Arabidopsis thaliana: one gene and its partner. The protein of the gene in region 1 purifies or fractionates together with the protein of each later gene. This does not show direct contact. Each region holds a gene or a part of one and is shown in the gene's direction. Other genes may lie near its edges.

Region 1 (3,678 bases):
CGAGAAACCAAAATCGCGATCGGAGAAATCGATGAGAAGAAGGAGCGGAGGATTATTTCAACGGCAAAGACGAAAACAATCAGATCTGGTCAAAAACGATGAACTCATCTGTGGCTACCATAGTTACTCGGTTTCTCCAATTCGATTTCTGCACAAACTAATTTCTGATCTTTTTTTTTTATTAATTTGTTTTTCTTTCTTAGTGGATTTGTTTTTTGGTCACAAGTGATGTCTTTAAAAAACAAGGAAAAAAAACTAATAAAGAAGACAAGTGAAAAGTGCGTGATCACTGTATCAAATGACAACTTCACCCTTAATGTTAGTAGCAGCTAACCGGGGTAATATTGGTATTTACTAGAGTGGTATTTTTTACAATTTTAGGTTACAGTATTTGGTTATATTAATTTTTCTATTTTGAAACATTAGCTAAAACATGATTATTCTTTATTTATTCACATCACATTGAAAAGTAAATAAATTGTAGTTGGAAATAATATCATTTCTTCATATCAATATGAATATTATTATCAATATTGATAATTATATTTTTATTTTTAACATTTTTATAACATCTTCAAACACATACATTATTTCAAATACCATTAGATATTATATTATTATTTTAAACATTTATTATTATTTCATATCATGCTTTTTTATAGGTGACTTAAATATGGACTTTGTTTCCAATAATATAGTTATATCAAATTTTATTTTTTAAACATTTAATATCATTTCTTATCATGCTTTCATTGCTTTTGTTTATAGTTTGAATGAACGAAAAGAAAAAACGATAATCATGTTTTATTTGTAAAGTTTGTTGTGAGTAGTATTGCAAATAAATTTAATATTTTATTCGGCCGGCAAACGTTACAAATAAAAAATAATTATTATTTCCATTTTATTTGTACTATGTACAACAAATAAATAAATTATGGTAAGAGATAATATTAAATGTTTTTATAATTTTCATGTTTTATTTGTATTATTTTGTGAGTGAATCAAAGATGAACTTTTGTTTTGGTAGGTAGTCATAGATGAACTTTATTTCTGATTTTTTTTTTTTTTTTGTCAACAGATTTTATTTAGAGCTCAAAAGAGCCAATTGTGAGGAAAATTATTTATAAAAGTGACATGAAGCGGTTCAATATGAATTTTTCGTGCCAATTTGTCCGCCTTTACATTTGCAGTTCGAGAAATTAAAGATAAAGAAAACTTTGTGAATTCCTCCTTATATCGGTCTTTAGTTCCTCCAAATAAGTTGAAAACGCTGGTCATTCGGTTGGAGAAGACACCATCTTCACCAAGTCTGAATAGTCTGTAAAAAATGCTACTTCTTGGTTGTCGGCACCAATCATACACTTCATCGACCAAAGTAGTGCTTCGACTTCTGTATGGAGTGGATAAAGACTTCTACGAAGATTAGCAGCTCCCATGGTTGGCGAGTCTCCATTTGATGATCTGCAAAACCACCCTAATCCAGAAAACTTATCGCTTCCTTTCCAAGATCCGTCCACAAAACAACGCAAACCAGAATAAATATTATCGTGTGATATATTCTGAACCCGAATTTGTTTTTTCGATCCCATGGAACCGTTATTTTTGGTATTGAGCTCAAATTGAGCTAACTGCCATAATTCTGCCTCTTTTTCTGTTAAACATAATACGTCTAACTTTATTTCCGATATTCTTAGCTCTAGAAAATTTTCATTCTTAAAACATTTAATATTATCTTGACCATATATTTTTTAGTTATGTTGTCTGAATAAGATGAATAAACAATAATTATGTCTCATTTATAAATTATAACTCTCTAGTGAGTCAAATACCGACTTTATTTCCAATATACTATAGTAATTTTTCCTTTTATTTACCTTTTTAATGTAGTGTTAATAAAACCAATAAAGTATATAATCATATTATTTTTGTAACTGGTGACACAAAGCTGGATTTTATTTGCAATATTATAAATATGGCGAAATAGGAAACGAATTGTAAGTAGGTAACATTATAAAAGGGTGAAAAATAATAACATAAAATAAAATTGTGAAAAATAATAACATAAAAATGAAGAAATGATTTTATTACTAAATAAATTTGGTAACAAATAAAGTTTTAGTTTCCGTTTACTCCAATGTTACTATTTTTTTTCCCCCGACCATTTTTACACACAGCCAATCAGAGCCTTGTTTCATCGTCTCTTGTCGAGGCGATAATATTTAGATCTGCTCACCATTTCTCCGCCATCGCCGACGGAAGAAGAAAGATGGGAGACAACAACCCTAACCGATCAGAAGCAGAACGTCTTCTCGGAATCGCGGAGAAGCTTCTCGAGTCACGAGATCTAAACGGTTCAAAAGAGTTTGCAATCTTAGCTCAAGAGACAGAGCCACTCCTCGAAGGCACCGATCAAATCCTCGCCGTCGTCGATGTCTTACTCTCATCAGCACCAGAGAATCGTATCAAAAACCAACCAAACTGGTACAAAATCCTTCAGATCGAAGATCTAACTGAATCATCAACAGACAACGATCTAATCAAGAAACAATACCGTCGTCTTGCTCTTCTTCTCCACCCTGACAAAAACCGTTTCCCTTTCGCCGATCAAGCTTTCAGATTCGTGCTTGATGCATGGGAAGTTCTATCAACACCTACGAAGAAATCTCAATTCGATGGAGATTTGAATCTCATCTTCACTAAAGTAAATCTCAACACTCAGAAATCGAAGAAGAAAACAACAACGAATGAGAAGATGTCTACGTTTTGGACGGCGTGTCCGTACTGTTACAGTCTTCATGAGTATCCTAGGGTTTATCAAGAGTATTGTATTAGATGTCAAAACTGTCAAAGAGCGTTTCACGCTGCGAGTATTCCTCAGTTGCCTCCGTTGATACCTGGTAAAGATGAGTATTATTGTTGTTGGGGTTTTTTTCCGATGGGGTTTGTTGGTGGTAAAGGAGGAGAAGCTGCCATTGCTAATGGAGTAGATGCAGCTAAGTTCCCTAATTGGATGCCTCCGGTTTTCTCATCCGGCGGCGTTGCAGCTCCTCCAAGTGGTAATGGTGTTAGTTTTGATGGATGGTCAGGTGGTGCGGCGAAGAGAGATAATGAGGCTGTGAGGAGTAATAATGGTGTTGGAGTTAATTCAGATGGAACACCGAAGAAGAGAGGAAGAGGAAGGCCGAAGAAGAATCCGGTTTAGTGATCTCTTTTCAAACTCCGGTCATGATTGTTAAAATTATGGAGACAAAATTTTAAAGGCAAGTTTTTTTTAAGGCAAGGAAGTTTAGGATCAGCGTTTGTTGTCTTAGTGTAAACTTTATTATGCATTTGTTGTTATTACCGTTGTGTAATTGTGTTATCTTGATTTACTTTGAAACATTTTCCTCATTACATAATTTGGCAATTCGCTCTTTTCCACTTCACTTGTTGGATGGATTAAACACTTTAGATTCTCTGTAAATAAAATTGAGGAAAAATCAAGATTGGAGAGCAAAGTAGTGTCAAAGATATAACTCTACTAAAAGCAGCAACACCTACAAAGTTTAGTTCTTCAAGTGATGATCAAAAGTATTTTCTTTTACGAGTCTATAAGTGAAAGCGAAGGACTGTTGATAAGACTTCTACTTCCTGACGATATTGAGATCGATGTGTACATACGCAAGCGAAGCCACAAAT
Region 2 (12,112 bases), on another chromosome or scaffold:
TATCTAAAGATATGTGTCTGAAAACAAATAAATGAAACTTAAATAAAAATCTATTCAATGCAATATAATGTGATTTGTTTCTATAGAATAAAACAAATATTAAAGAGAGGCATGCAAATGGTAAGTATGAAAAAGGTTATAAAAGAAGAAGGAAATAAAGATTAGATTCATGCACTGTAATTTTGTTTAAAAATTAGCATTATCTTGAGTCTTGACCACAAAACCAAAATTAGTCGTCCGTTACAAATTGGAAAGGGATTTGGTTGTGACCAATAGTATGAAGATGGTTTACTTAGTTTCCAATACTCTATGGACAAATGGTGCATTTTTGTATTTGTTAGTTTTTTTAAGAGGTCCACATTTCAATTGATTAACGCTTTTTAAATTAACTAACACTTAAAAAAAGTTTTGTTACAAAGTATTATATAGATTTTAATTAATTGTAACAGCAAAAGCTTTCATAGCTCAGTTGGTTAGAGCACCCGTTTAGTAAGCGGGAGGTCTTGAGTTCAACTCTCAATGAAAGCAAATTTTTGTTATTTTACAATTAAAATCAGTTTTGTTCATTTTTATTAATCTTTAAAATAGATATGGTGTGAATGTTTCTCTTTATGCTTGGGCCTGTGGCCCTTTTTGGGCTTTGAAAAGCCTTGTAAGTTGACATAAAATCACGCTTATCAATTAGAGAATTATTAAAATATCCACCGAAATGTTTTCGGTGATAATGGGCTTTGAGTGCGTACCAGTAAAAGAAGGTTGAGACTTGAGAATAGCAATTAGCAGCGATCTGACCAAACAACACAACACAGTTAAATCATTCTCGAATACTTCCACTGGATGTCCACTGTGCAGCATGAAATTTGCATATATTTATTTTTAATTGATACAAGTTATTTTAGATGTTTATTGTATTTTTTTTGTAGAGCCATCCTAAAATAACCAAACCTTACGAAAAATAAATAATACAGAAACGTATCCAAAGGGGTTCTTACTCTTTAGAAAATTACTGAAATCAATTGTAGAAGAGCCTAAACATTGATTTAAATTTTGGTTTCTCGGTGGTTTTGTTGGACCATTTTTAGAGCTATAAACTTCTTCTAGAAATTCTTTTTTCTTAAAATGAAATATATTGTGTGTTATAGAAAAAGAATCATAAACAAAGCCCCAATAGTAGTAGCAATCTACTGATTTAGTATCATCAAAATGATGGGACTTGTGTAGAACTGTAGAAGCTTCCCTGACACACATTTTGTAAATTTTGAACGGTTGAAATTAGTGATGGCCTCACTCACCCCTCTCTTGTACTTTCACATTTTCTCTTCAAAGAAAAAAAAACAATTTTCATAAACGTTATCAATTTAAAAAATCATCAATGAAGAAAAAAGCATATAGAATTGACTTAAAATAATTGATAGAATAGCTTATCCGCGATTTATTATAAGACTGCATCCAAACACAGTTTTTTTTTTATTCTTTGATAAATCAATAAGTACTGCAAATTTTTGTTCTTTATAAAAAGAAGTAATCAACAGTCAACATTCGCTCTGTTTTCGCTTCCAAATAAACAAACAAATAATTATAATTCTTTCTTACAAAAAAATAAAAAGATATATATAAATCTTTCGCACTCTCTCTTTGCTTGTTGGTGGTGCATATGTAGTAAGTAGGTTAAGCTTAAAGAACTGATCGGAGAATCACAACCATGGCTAAATGTCACCGGAATAATATCGGATCTCTCATTCTTGACCGTGCTCCTTCCACTTCTTCTTCTTCTACTTCCGGCTACCATTTCCGTCTCTGGAGCACCTTCTCTAGATCCACATTCCGTAGAAAGATCGTCGACGCCGTTAGTTGCGGCGGTAGCTCACGTTACCGTCACGAGCTCCGGGAAGAGGACGATGAAGGAAGTTACGTGACGGTGACGGCGAAGTCAACAGTTGCATCATCGAAAGATGCGAAAGCTAATACGATCGGCGCGGCGTTGAACGGCGTAGCGTTCGAGGAGACATCGAAGAAATCGGAGAAGCTTTGTGATCTGTTGAATCTAGCTGAAGTTGAAGCTGATGTTGAGACGATGAAGAAAGAGGAAGCTCTTGAGGTTTTGAAGCGCGTGGTCAGAGAGTTACAATCAGCTGCGGCGGCGCGTGAAGATAACGATGACGGAGGAGACTGTCGGAAGAAAATAACGGCGGCGAGTGAGGTACGGTTGTTGGCGAAGGAAGACTCGGAGGCGAGAGTGACGTTGGCGATGCTCGGTGCGATTCCGCCGTTAGTTAGTATGATCGATGACTCGAGAATCGTAGATGCTCAGATCGCTTCGCTTTATGCTCTGCTCAATCTTGGGATTGGTAATGACGCGTAAGTCTCACTTTCATTGCCATGAATTTTTATTTCGGCCAAATAGTTTCTGTGTTTGTTTTGGGTTCATTCGTTAAGTCACTTTCCATGTCTTTTTTTTTTTCTGCTAGAGTGAGTATGAAGTATGGAACAATGTGTATAACTTGAAGCATTTATTTCAATATTTTACCCATTTTAGGACTTTCCTTGATTCTGTTTTGCAGGAACAAAGCAGCGATTGTTAAAGCAGGTGCTGTTCACAAAATGCTGAAGCTAATTGAGTCTCCAAACACTCCTGATCAAGAGATTGCAGAAGCTGTGGTCGCTAATTTTCTTGGATTAAGCGCTTTAGATTCAAACAAACCGATTATTGGTTCTTCTGGAGCTATAATCTTCCTGGTGAAAACTCTTCAGAATTTGGATGAAACAAGTAGCTCACAAGCGAGAGAGGACGCATTGAGAGCTCTCTACAACCTCTCAATCTATCAACCAAACGTTTCGTTTATCCTTGAAACCGATTTGATCACGTATCTTTTGAACACATTGGGAGATATGGAAGTGAGTGAGAGGATTCTCGCTATCTTGAGCAATTTAGTGGCAGTCCCTGAAGGAAGAAAAGCAATCGGTTTGGTGTGCGACGCATTCCCGGTTTTAGTCGATGTACTGAACTGGACTGACTCACCGGGGTGCCAAGAAAAGGCGACTTACATTCTAATGTTGATGGCTCACAAGGGATACGGAGATAGACAAGTGATGATTGAGGCGGGAATCGAATCAGCGTTGCTCGAGTTAACTCTTTTAGGAAGTGCACTGGCACAAAAGAGAGCATCAAGGATATTAGAGTGTCTTAGAGTAGACAAAGGAAAGCAAGTCCTGGATAGTACAGGATCATGCGGAGCCTTATCCGCACCGATATACGGGACCAGAGACAACGGTTTGGACCACGAGGAAAACGATTTGATGATGAGCGAAGAGAGGAAAGCCGTGAAACAGTTAGTGCAACAGAGTTTACAGAGTAATATGAAGAGAATTGTGAAGAGAGCTAATTTGCCACAAGACTTTGTTCCTTCAGAGCATTTCAAGTCACTAAGTTTGAGCTCCACTTCAAAGAGCCTTCCCTTTTGAAAAATGTAAGTCTTAATCATTAGTCAGATTGCTAATTTAAGTAGATTGTCACATTGATAAGTTTGTTAACTTTCTTCCCAAGGCTTTATTGATTTGATGCTCTGTCTCTCACTCACTGACAGTGGCATAAAATGTAAATTCGGGTAATATTAGAGGGCATTGAGTTAGTCTCTCACATGCACTTCACCAGTTTTTTAGTCTTCCTCGAGACCCCACCCACATAGCCTGAATCTTGAAATTACCATATTGCCCATCTTCCTTAACTAAAGTGTCGGTCATTATCTCACTTTGAAGTATGGCTTGGTCCACTCTTGCTTTTGCTTTTATTGTTTGTATTTAATTTTATATTTATGTCTCTGTAAAATACATTTTCAAACAGAGTTTTGGAATCTTTTGAGAGATTATTTTATGGTTGTTTCTCGAATATAAAATAGAGTACATGCCTGAATAAACAATGTGGCGGCGTGGAGTAAATTGGATCTGTCGATCTAACTACATTTTGTTTGTTATTGTTTTGTTTTGTAGCGAAAATTTTACACAAATTCATTATAGAATAATCAAGCATCACGTCTTGTAGGTGTCATCATGATTCATGAAGCATTTCTACAAAAATAATAGAGAGAAAGACACATATGAGCTGATTTAACAAGAGGAAATAAAAACAAAGAAGAGTGTTGTTGCTTCGCCAGATCTCATCAGCTTCTGAGGTATGCGACAAATGTGCTCAGACACAATCTAATATAATGCATAGTACTCAAGGTACGATGTGTCGTTGTGTTTGAGTTAACTTTTTTTTTGGTTTGGTTGGTGGTTTTGTTAAAAGTAAAAAAGCCAAATTGGTCTACTAGGCTTAGCGTGAAAAGTATTGTTATAAAGTTATAGAGTTTGTTAGCTTTTACTTTTACCAATTTTATCAGCTTTTTTACTATTATTATATGGTTAAATTAATACTGTATCTTTCCACCTTTTTTTTGGCTTATGAGTGAGTACTCATCCTTAAAAAACTTGAGTAAGTTTATATTTTTCTCTTTTGTTAAAAGAGTAATGCTTATATTCGATGTGTACTTTGTAAAAACCCTACAAGATTTTAAGGATGGTCCAAATTTGAAATAGTACACGTCTAAAATAATTAACAACATAATTGAAAGGTGGGAGAGGCATGTGGGAGTGTGAGTGCTTTCATTAAAGACAGTCTACTTTATTTAAGTTTTGATATGATCTACTGTTATGGAGAACACTCTTCTTCGGCTACTAAAAGCTGCACTAGCTGTCTCTGGATATCGACAACATACTTATCTTATCTATTGCCGTTTCATTTCTATAATAGTTAGTTTTGCCATGCTCGATTAATCTAGATTTTACATATTAGTTTTGGCATAGTAGTGTTACTTATACTCCTTTTCTAATAATACATTTGAAATTTGAATATCACATTGTTTATACTTCTAGTATCTATCCTCTTTAATTTTTCTGGTTAAATATACCTGCCCCCTTATACTTTAATGTGTAAACATGCTACAAAATCATCTCATTCACATTGTTAGAGAATGGTACGATATGAAACGTGTATAAGTCTCTGTAACCGCTTAAACTTGTCGCTATCTTCTTCCGTGGGAATGCGAACTCAAGCAAATTCCCCAAGAAAAGTCATCTTTGCTCTTCACATACACCGACACCTACTACCACCAGTGCTTATAATATTCTATAATTTTCAACATTGTTGTTTATAATTTGGTATAAGAAAGTAATATGTTTTTTTTGACAGAAAATATATGCTTAGAGGGGTTTTCTATAAGGTCTTATTAGAATATGATGACAACATTTTAACGTCTTTTTTTTTCTCTATCTGGGTGAAGACTACCTTTGCGACGAGTGAGAGAGGAGGTAGCTAGCGATAAAGTAATTTTTTTTTTTTTTTTTCAAGTACTTAGCAATCAAAATGTGCTACCTAGCAAATTATCACTATTTTTTAGTAATGTTTAATATTTGCATACAAACCCTCTTATGGGCTTCTCGACGATGCTAGGAATCTGATTTGGGCCTAATGTTAGATTAGCCCGTTTGTGTTTCATATAGGGTTTCTGAGCAGCCTAACTATTGGGCTGCACGCTTGAGGTTTGAGTAATTCTACTAACCAAGTGTTAATTAGCTATAGACATGAGAGACAATAGGTAAATAATAAACTGGAGGCCCTTTAATATGTGTACATACGATAACGATGACTATATTATACAGTGTTAGTCCTACAAAATTCAAAACTTATTTCTATGTTTTGGGACAACATGCTTAGGAATAAATGATTTTTTTTTTTCTTTTTCTTAAACCGCTTAATATTTTTTCTTTCATCCAGTTTTTAGTTGTTGAATCTTATATTTGATTTCATGTTAATGCAATATGAATCGTTATAGTTTATGGATCTGTTAACGATAAATTTAATAATCTATGTTTCTTTTTAGAGTTCTATCTAGGTCTATATTCCCAACATCTTAATATACCAAATAGTACATATGTAGAATCAAAAAAACAATCTAATATAGAATCGTATAAACTTAATAGTGACAAAATCTTATTAAAATTGAATCTTACCAAATTCTTATTTTTCTTCTTTAATATGTCAACTACAAATTTCTACATATATTTGTTTTTCAGGATTTTATCCTTTATACTCATTTTTATTTTATTTTTCATATGCTTCATGTGAGTCTGGTTGATAAAAAAGCAAATAATACTCACAAAATATATAAAAATCGGATATGAAAGCAAATAATGAGCTAACCTGAGTTTATAATCTAAAGTAAAATCCGAAATAAAGGGAAAAAATCGCAATACTGGATTTCCTTGATTTTTGTATTCCATTTTTCTATAAAAAAATTCCATAAAAGAGAAAGAGAAATAAAAATAAATGAAGAAACACATCTCGTCAAATAGACGACCAACTAATAAATTGCCGTACACCAAATATTAAATACATCCCATTTTTTTATTTAAAGATTATATATATATCTTTTTAACGGCGCTTGAGGACTCTCCTATTTTTCTTTACTTTTTTTTTTCTTTAGTTTTCTGTAAACTGTTAAGATTGAGAGAGAGCGAACAAAAAAAAAAAAAAGAGAGAGCGGAGAGAAGAAAAAAAACCCTAGCGTGTTGTTCAGTGACTTTGGGGGGAAAATTTCTCGTAGTTTCTTCGCTAAATCCGTCTTCTCATCTCTTTCCATTTGTGGAATTCAATGGAAGCTTTAGGTTTTTGGTGCTGAGAATTCTCTGTTTTCGAATCTAGGGTTTGTAGAGGAGATCTATTCAATTGTAGATACGCAAGAGCGAAACGAGTCAGAAAACTAGGAGAAGGAGTCATGTCGGATTCTGATAAAGAGCTCGAGAATCAGATTATTGAAGCTGGGGAAAAGCTTATTGACCCGCCTTCTTCACTCGATGAGCTTCTCTCTTTCCTTGACGTGAGCTCTCATCTCCTTCACCACCCCCTTTTGTTTCTTTCTCTTTTATTTTGGTCTTCTTCTTCGGATTCGTGGCAATGCTAAGTCTGTGCATGTGTTTACTCTCGATTTCTGGATTTAATGCTCTGTTTCCTTCGTCTCTTTTACTCTCTGAATCTACTCAAATGCTTTTATTCCTGCATTTTAGATCTTAGTTACGGTTGTTTCTCGGTTTGGGATAAAAATCCCTGTGGTTTTGGAGTTAGTGAGTTTGATTGATGATCCTTGTGCTTTATTTCTGCAGAAACTTTTCGTATCCCTGGCGGAGGTTGAACAGTCACCTCCCGACTCAATGCAGAATGCACTCACTCCATTGATGAAAGGATTAGTCGGTGGAAAACTCTTCAAGCATTCAGATGTCGATGTCAAAGTTGCTGTCGCTGCCTGCATCAGTGAGATTACAAGAATAACTGCTCCTGATGCTCCTTATGATGATGACCAGATGAAGGTATGTAGTTGTTTGTTATTTTTTTCTTGAGGGAGTGGACATTATGCTGGTTGGTTACTGACTCTTTTCTTCTATTCATGTGCAGGAAGTATTCAAGTTGATTGTATCATCATTTGAAGATCTGGTTGACAAATCTAGTCGTTCCTATGCTAAAAGGATATCTATCCTTGAAACTGTGGCTAAGGTCAGGTCATGTGTTGTGATGTTGGATCTTGAGTGTGATGCACTTCTTATTGAGATGTTCCAGCATTTCCTCAAGGCTATAAGGTACACTCTAATATATCCATTATGCTAGAATTAAACTCATTGTTTTTTCATCTTGTAATGTAATGTCCAGGAAATACACATACATGGAATTGTCTACTTGTTTATTTCCCTGTTGTTCCTTTATTTCCTTGTGTCATGTTTGATTAATGGATGTTGTTGTTCTCATTTGATATCATTTCATTCATGTCGTTCTACCTATCCATGGACTATGCTACTTTACTTTATGTACTCGCAATATAGTTCACAACTAGTCTATTGCTTGTTGCTTATGTTTGCTTGTACAACATCCAATAAGTATGTTTGTCTGATGTTGAACTTGTTTACCCTTTCAGGGACCATCATTCAGGGAATGTATTTTCATCTATGGAGAACATAATGACCCTTGTTTTAGAAGAAAGCGAGGATATACCTTCAGAGATGCTTTCACCAATCCTACATTCTGTTAAAAAGGATGATGAGGTAATACATGGATGGTCTACTGATTTTCTATCACCAACCAATGCTCTTTTGTTAAATCTTTTAACTTATCAACAGATTTCCCAAGTATCACGGAGGTTGGCAGAACAAGTTCTCAGTAACTGTGCTAGCAAGCTCAAAACTTATCTGACCGAAGCAGTGAAATCGTCGGGTGTCCCTCTAGATAAGTATAGTAACATAGTGGCTTCGATATGTGAAGGGACATTCAGTGCTTTGCAGCAAGACCAAGTTGTTGCAAATGAAAAAGAAGTAAGCCTTTATTTCTCACCTTTTTTACTGCCGCACTGCCTCAACTTTTTTAGTGATTATGCAGGTCTTCAGTTACATTAGCTCTTATACTGTTCTTCCATATTTTTCCTCTCCAGGATAGTCAAGGTCATATAAAAAGGGAAACGGAAGTAGAGGTACGATAGTCATTGTTGATTTGTATGAAAAGGATAGATGCCTTTCTTCTTTTAGCTTTTGTAGATTGTTAATTGATTTTTATGTTCCAATTAAAACATGATAAACAGAAGGCAGCAGAAATTTCTACCCCTGAGCGAACTGATGCACCTAAGGATGAATCTGGTAAGTCTGGAGTTAGCAATGGTGTCGCGCAACAGAATGATTCTTCGGTTGATACTGATTCCATGAAGAAGCAAGACGATACGGGTGCCAAAGATGAGCCGCAGCAACTTGATAATCCTAGAAACACTGACTTGAATAATACTACTGAAGAGAAGCCTGATGTTGAACATCAAATTGAGGAAAAGGAAAACGAATCTAGTTCTGTCAAACAGGCGGATTTATCAAAAGATTCAGATATCAAAGAAGAGACTGAACCTGCAGAACTCCTGGACAGCAAGGATGTGTTAACTTCGCCTCCTGTTGATTCATCTGTTACCGCAGCCACCTCTTCTGAAAATGAAAAGAATAAAAGTGTGCAGATTTTACCATCTAAGACATCAGGAGATGAAACTGCCAATGTCAGTTCTCCGTCAATGGCTGAGGAACTTCCTGAGCAAAGCGTCCCTAAGAAGACTGCAAACCAGAAGAAAAAGGAGAGCTCGACAGAGGAGGTCAAACCTTCTGCTTCTATTGCTACCGAAGAAGTTTCTGAAGAACCAAACACGTCTGAACCTCAGGTGACAAAAAAGTCTGGAAAGAAGGTTGCTTCGTCAAGTAAAACAAAGCCTACTGTTCCTCCTTCAAAGAAAAGCACCTCTGAGACAAAAGTAGCCAAGCAGTCAGAGAAAAAGGTAGTTGGGAGTGATAATGCACAAGAATCCACAAAGCCAAAAGAGGAAAAGAAAAAACCAGGACGTGGGAAAGCCATTGATGAGGAGTCATTACACACTTCATCTGGTGATAATGAAAAAGTGAGTAGTTCCCTGACCTGAATTGATTCGAATACATATCTGACTTCCCTGTCCTTGTCCTCTTACCGATATGGTTTAATTTTATTTTCAGCCAGCTGTTTCCTCCGGAAAGCTAGCCTCAAAATCAAAGAAAGAAGCGAAGCAAACGGTAGAAGAAAGTCCTAATTCAAACACAAAGAGAAAACGAAGTTTAGGCCAAGGGAAGGTATGTTTTCTTCACTTCACCAATTGCCATTTGCAGTAGTAATTGTGCATGGGAGCAGCTTCTTATTCTCTTCAAGTTGAAGAAATATTCTCTGAAACGATTATCCTTTAATTGTACTGGTTTCCTTTGCTCTGTACGAGTTTTTCTTTTTGTATACTTTTTCATACCGAATCAATTCTTGGGCAGGCATCTGGTGAAAGTTTAGTTGGATCGAGGATCAAAGTCTGGTGGCCTATGGATCAAGCGTAAGCATTTTGTATTTTCTTCTTAGGAATTATATTTGATTTACAAGAAGGCAATTTGCATTTTCTCTGTTCTGGACTTCTATGTTTGTTCCTTTAGACAGCAGAATCTGGACTACCTGTTATTGTAATTTTTTGTTTTCTATGCTTTCAAATGAGTAATCTGTTTTTTACCGCAGGTACTATAAAGGTGTGGTCGAGTCATATGATGCTGCAAAGAAGAAACATCTGGTAAGCCCAATTTTATCCGTCTCCCCTATTTTGGTTCGCCTGATTTGTTTGTGGTCAACCAGTAGCCTTTTGAATGTTCTCCTAAGCTATACATCTTTGTTTCAGGCCTTTTTATGGTATTTTAATTGTTGTATGCTGTTGCCATGTTCGTTTGCAGGTTATCTATGATGATGGAGATCAAGAAATCTTGTATCTCAAGAATCAGAAGTGGAGTCCTCTGGATGAATCAGAATTGTCACAGGTGGGGCATTATATTTCATCCATCTCTGGCTTTTTTTGCTCTTCGCCTATTTTGTAACTTACACTTTCTGTCATCAGGATGAAGAAGCTGCTGATCAGACGGGTCAAGAGGAAGATGCCTCTACAGTGTACGTGTTACTTCTTTAGTTCCGTTGTTTATGTGGCACTGGAAGGAATAGCTAGATGTCATCTTTTTACTTGTGATGACCAAGCTTAGCATTTTGTCATGCAGGCCCCTGACGAAGAAAGCTAAGACAGGCAAGCAATCAAAGATGGACAACTCATCAGCTAAAAAGTAATTGAAACTGAAAGCAAATAGTTAACAAGTGTTGAAGTCTCTAAAATAATTCTCTACTAATACGTAATATTGTACTTCTGATGTATTCAGGGGTAGTGGAGCTGGATCAAGCAAGGCTAAAGCTACTCCTGCTTCCAAGTCCAGCAAGACGTCCCAGGATGACAAAACAGCGAGCAAATCGAAGGATTCAAAGGAAGCTAGCAGAGAAGAGGAGGCGAGCTCTGAGGAGGAGAGCGAGGAAGAGGAACCCCCCAAAACCGTTGGTAAATCAGGAAGCAGCAGGTCGAAGAAAGATATAAGCAGCGTATCGAAATCTGGGAAATCTAAAGCTTCATCCAAGAAAAAGGAAGAGCCCTCCAAGGCAACAACTTCTTCAAAATCCAAGTCGGGACCTGTGAAATCTGTACCTGCCAAAAGCAAGACAGGAAAGGGTAAAGCAAAATCTGGTTCTGCGTCTACACCTGCTTCGAAGGCCAAAGAGAGCGCTTCCGAGTCAGAATCTGAAGAGACACCCAAGGAGCCAGAACCAGCAACTAAAGCGAAATCAGGCAAGTCACAGGGGAGTCAATCAAAGTCCGGTAAGAAGAGGAAGCGATGAGTGTCTGGGCTTGTGCTCTTTTCTCTTTTGAATTATGATGGTTTATGTAATTTAAGGTGGAAAGCGATAAGCGTGTGGTGGGTAATGGTGGCCGTGAAATTGAACATCGTCTTGAGCAGTAGAAGTGTAGAATTGTTTTAAAGACAAACGTCTAGTAGTGATGCTTTTTTATTTACTTAGGTTTTGATTTCAGATGTAGTTTGTGTTAAGGTGGATACATAAGGAGGTTGCTTTGGTTATTTTCATTTCATTTTATTTTTTGACCCACGTTTTTCTGTCATCTATCTCTCCCTCTCTTTGGAGTGTTGCAGAGAAAATTTGGGCAGAAAAAAAAAGAAAAGGGAAACACATTCCGACGATTATTAGCCTGTTATCTTCCTAAATCATCATTTGAATTTGACTCGAGTGTTTATGTTGAGTTATGGATTTGTGCTGCTATTCGTAACCCTGGTTTGGGAACATTAGACAAGAAAATAGTTTGAATGCTTTCTAATGTGTATGTATATCCACCAGTACTGGGTAAATCGGCAGGTTCTCTAGTAACTTCAAAAAAATTGCTATTTTTTGAAAATGTTACTGTACCAAAAACTTTAAAATATGGGGCAAAGTGAAACTCGTTGTGACTGGGAGTTGTGTAGTCTTGTATACTCAGAGATTTTCCTATCTTATCTTTGTAATTTAATACTATGATTTGTTTCTAGATGAAACAAAGACTTTTCTTACGAATATATGTGTGGTTTACGAAATGCTCGGAGATTCCTAAAAGGATACCCAATGTTTGCTTCCCATATTTAA

The links. Proteins that work in one complex are often made in the same cells at the same time.
Region 2: the proteins of AT2G01710 (region 1) and AT4G31880 fractionate together in Arabidopsis thaliana (co-fractionation; one large-scale study listed by BioGRID). This does not show direct contact.

Annotation. Positions count from the first base shown.
Region 1 is NC_003071.7:313,570-317,247, forward strand, and holds AT2G01710 (Chaperone DnaJ-domain superfamily protein), read left to right. Parts: upstream 1-2,078; 5' UTR 2,079-2,134; coding exon 2,135-3,202; 3' UTR 3,203-3,424; downstream 3,425-3,678. Other genes in the region: AT2G01720 (Ribophorin I), read right to left, coding at 3,624-3,678.
Region 2 is NC_003075.7:15,418,640-15,430,751, reverse strand, and holds AT4G31880 (transcriptional regulator), read left to right. Parts: upstream 1-6,440; 5' UTR 6,441-6,812; coding exon 6,813-6,914; intron 6,915-7,197; coding exon 7,198-7,401; intron 7,402-7,486; coding exon 7,487-7,668; intron 7,669-8,000; coding exon 8,001-8,127; intron 8,128-8,202; coding exon 8,203-8,394; intron 8,395-8,510; coding exon 8,511-8,549; intron 8,550-8,657; coding exon 8,658-9,503; intron 9,504-9,594; coding exon 9,595-9,708; intron 9,709-9,894; coding exon 9,895-9,953; intron 9,954-10,129; coding exon 10,130-10,181; intron 10,182-10,338; coding exon 10,339-10,422; intron 10,423-10,499; coding exon 10,500-10,549; intron 10,550-10,653; coding exon 10,654-10,716; intron 10,717-10,809; coding exon 10,810-11,317; 3' UTR 11,318-11,805; downstream 11,806-12,112. Other genes in the region: AT4G31890 (ARM repeat superfamily protein), read left to right, coding at 1,703-2,358, 2,562-3,462. UniProt on the Arabidopsis thaliana protein: Cohesin cofactor dispensable during the meiotic division but playing an important role in DNA repair by homologous recombination (HR) probably by helping SMC5/SMC6 complex.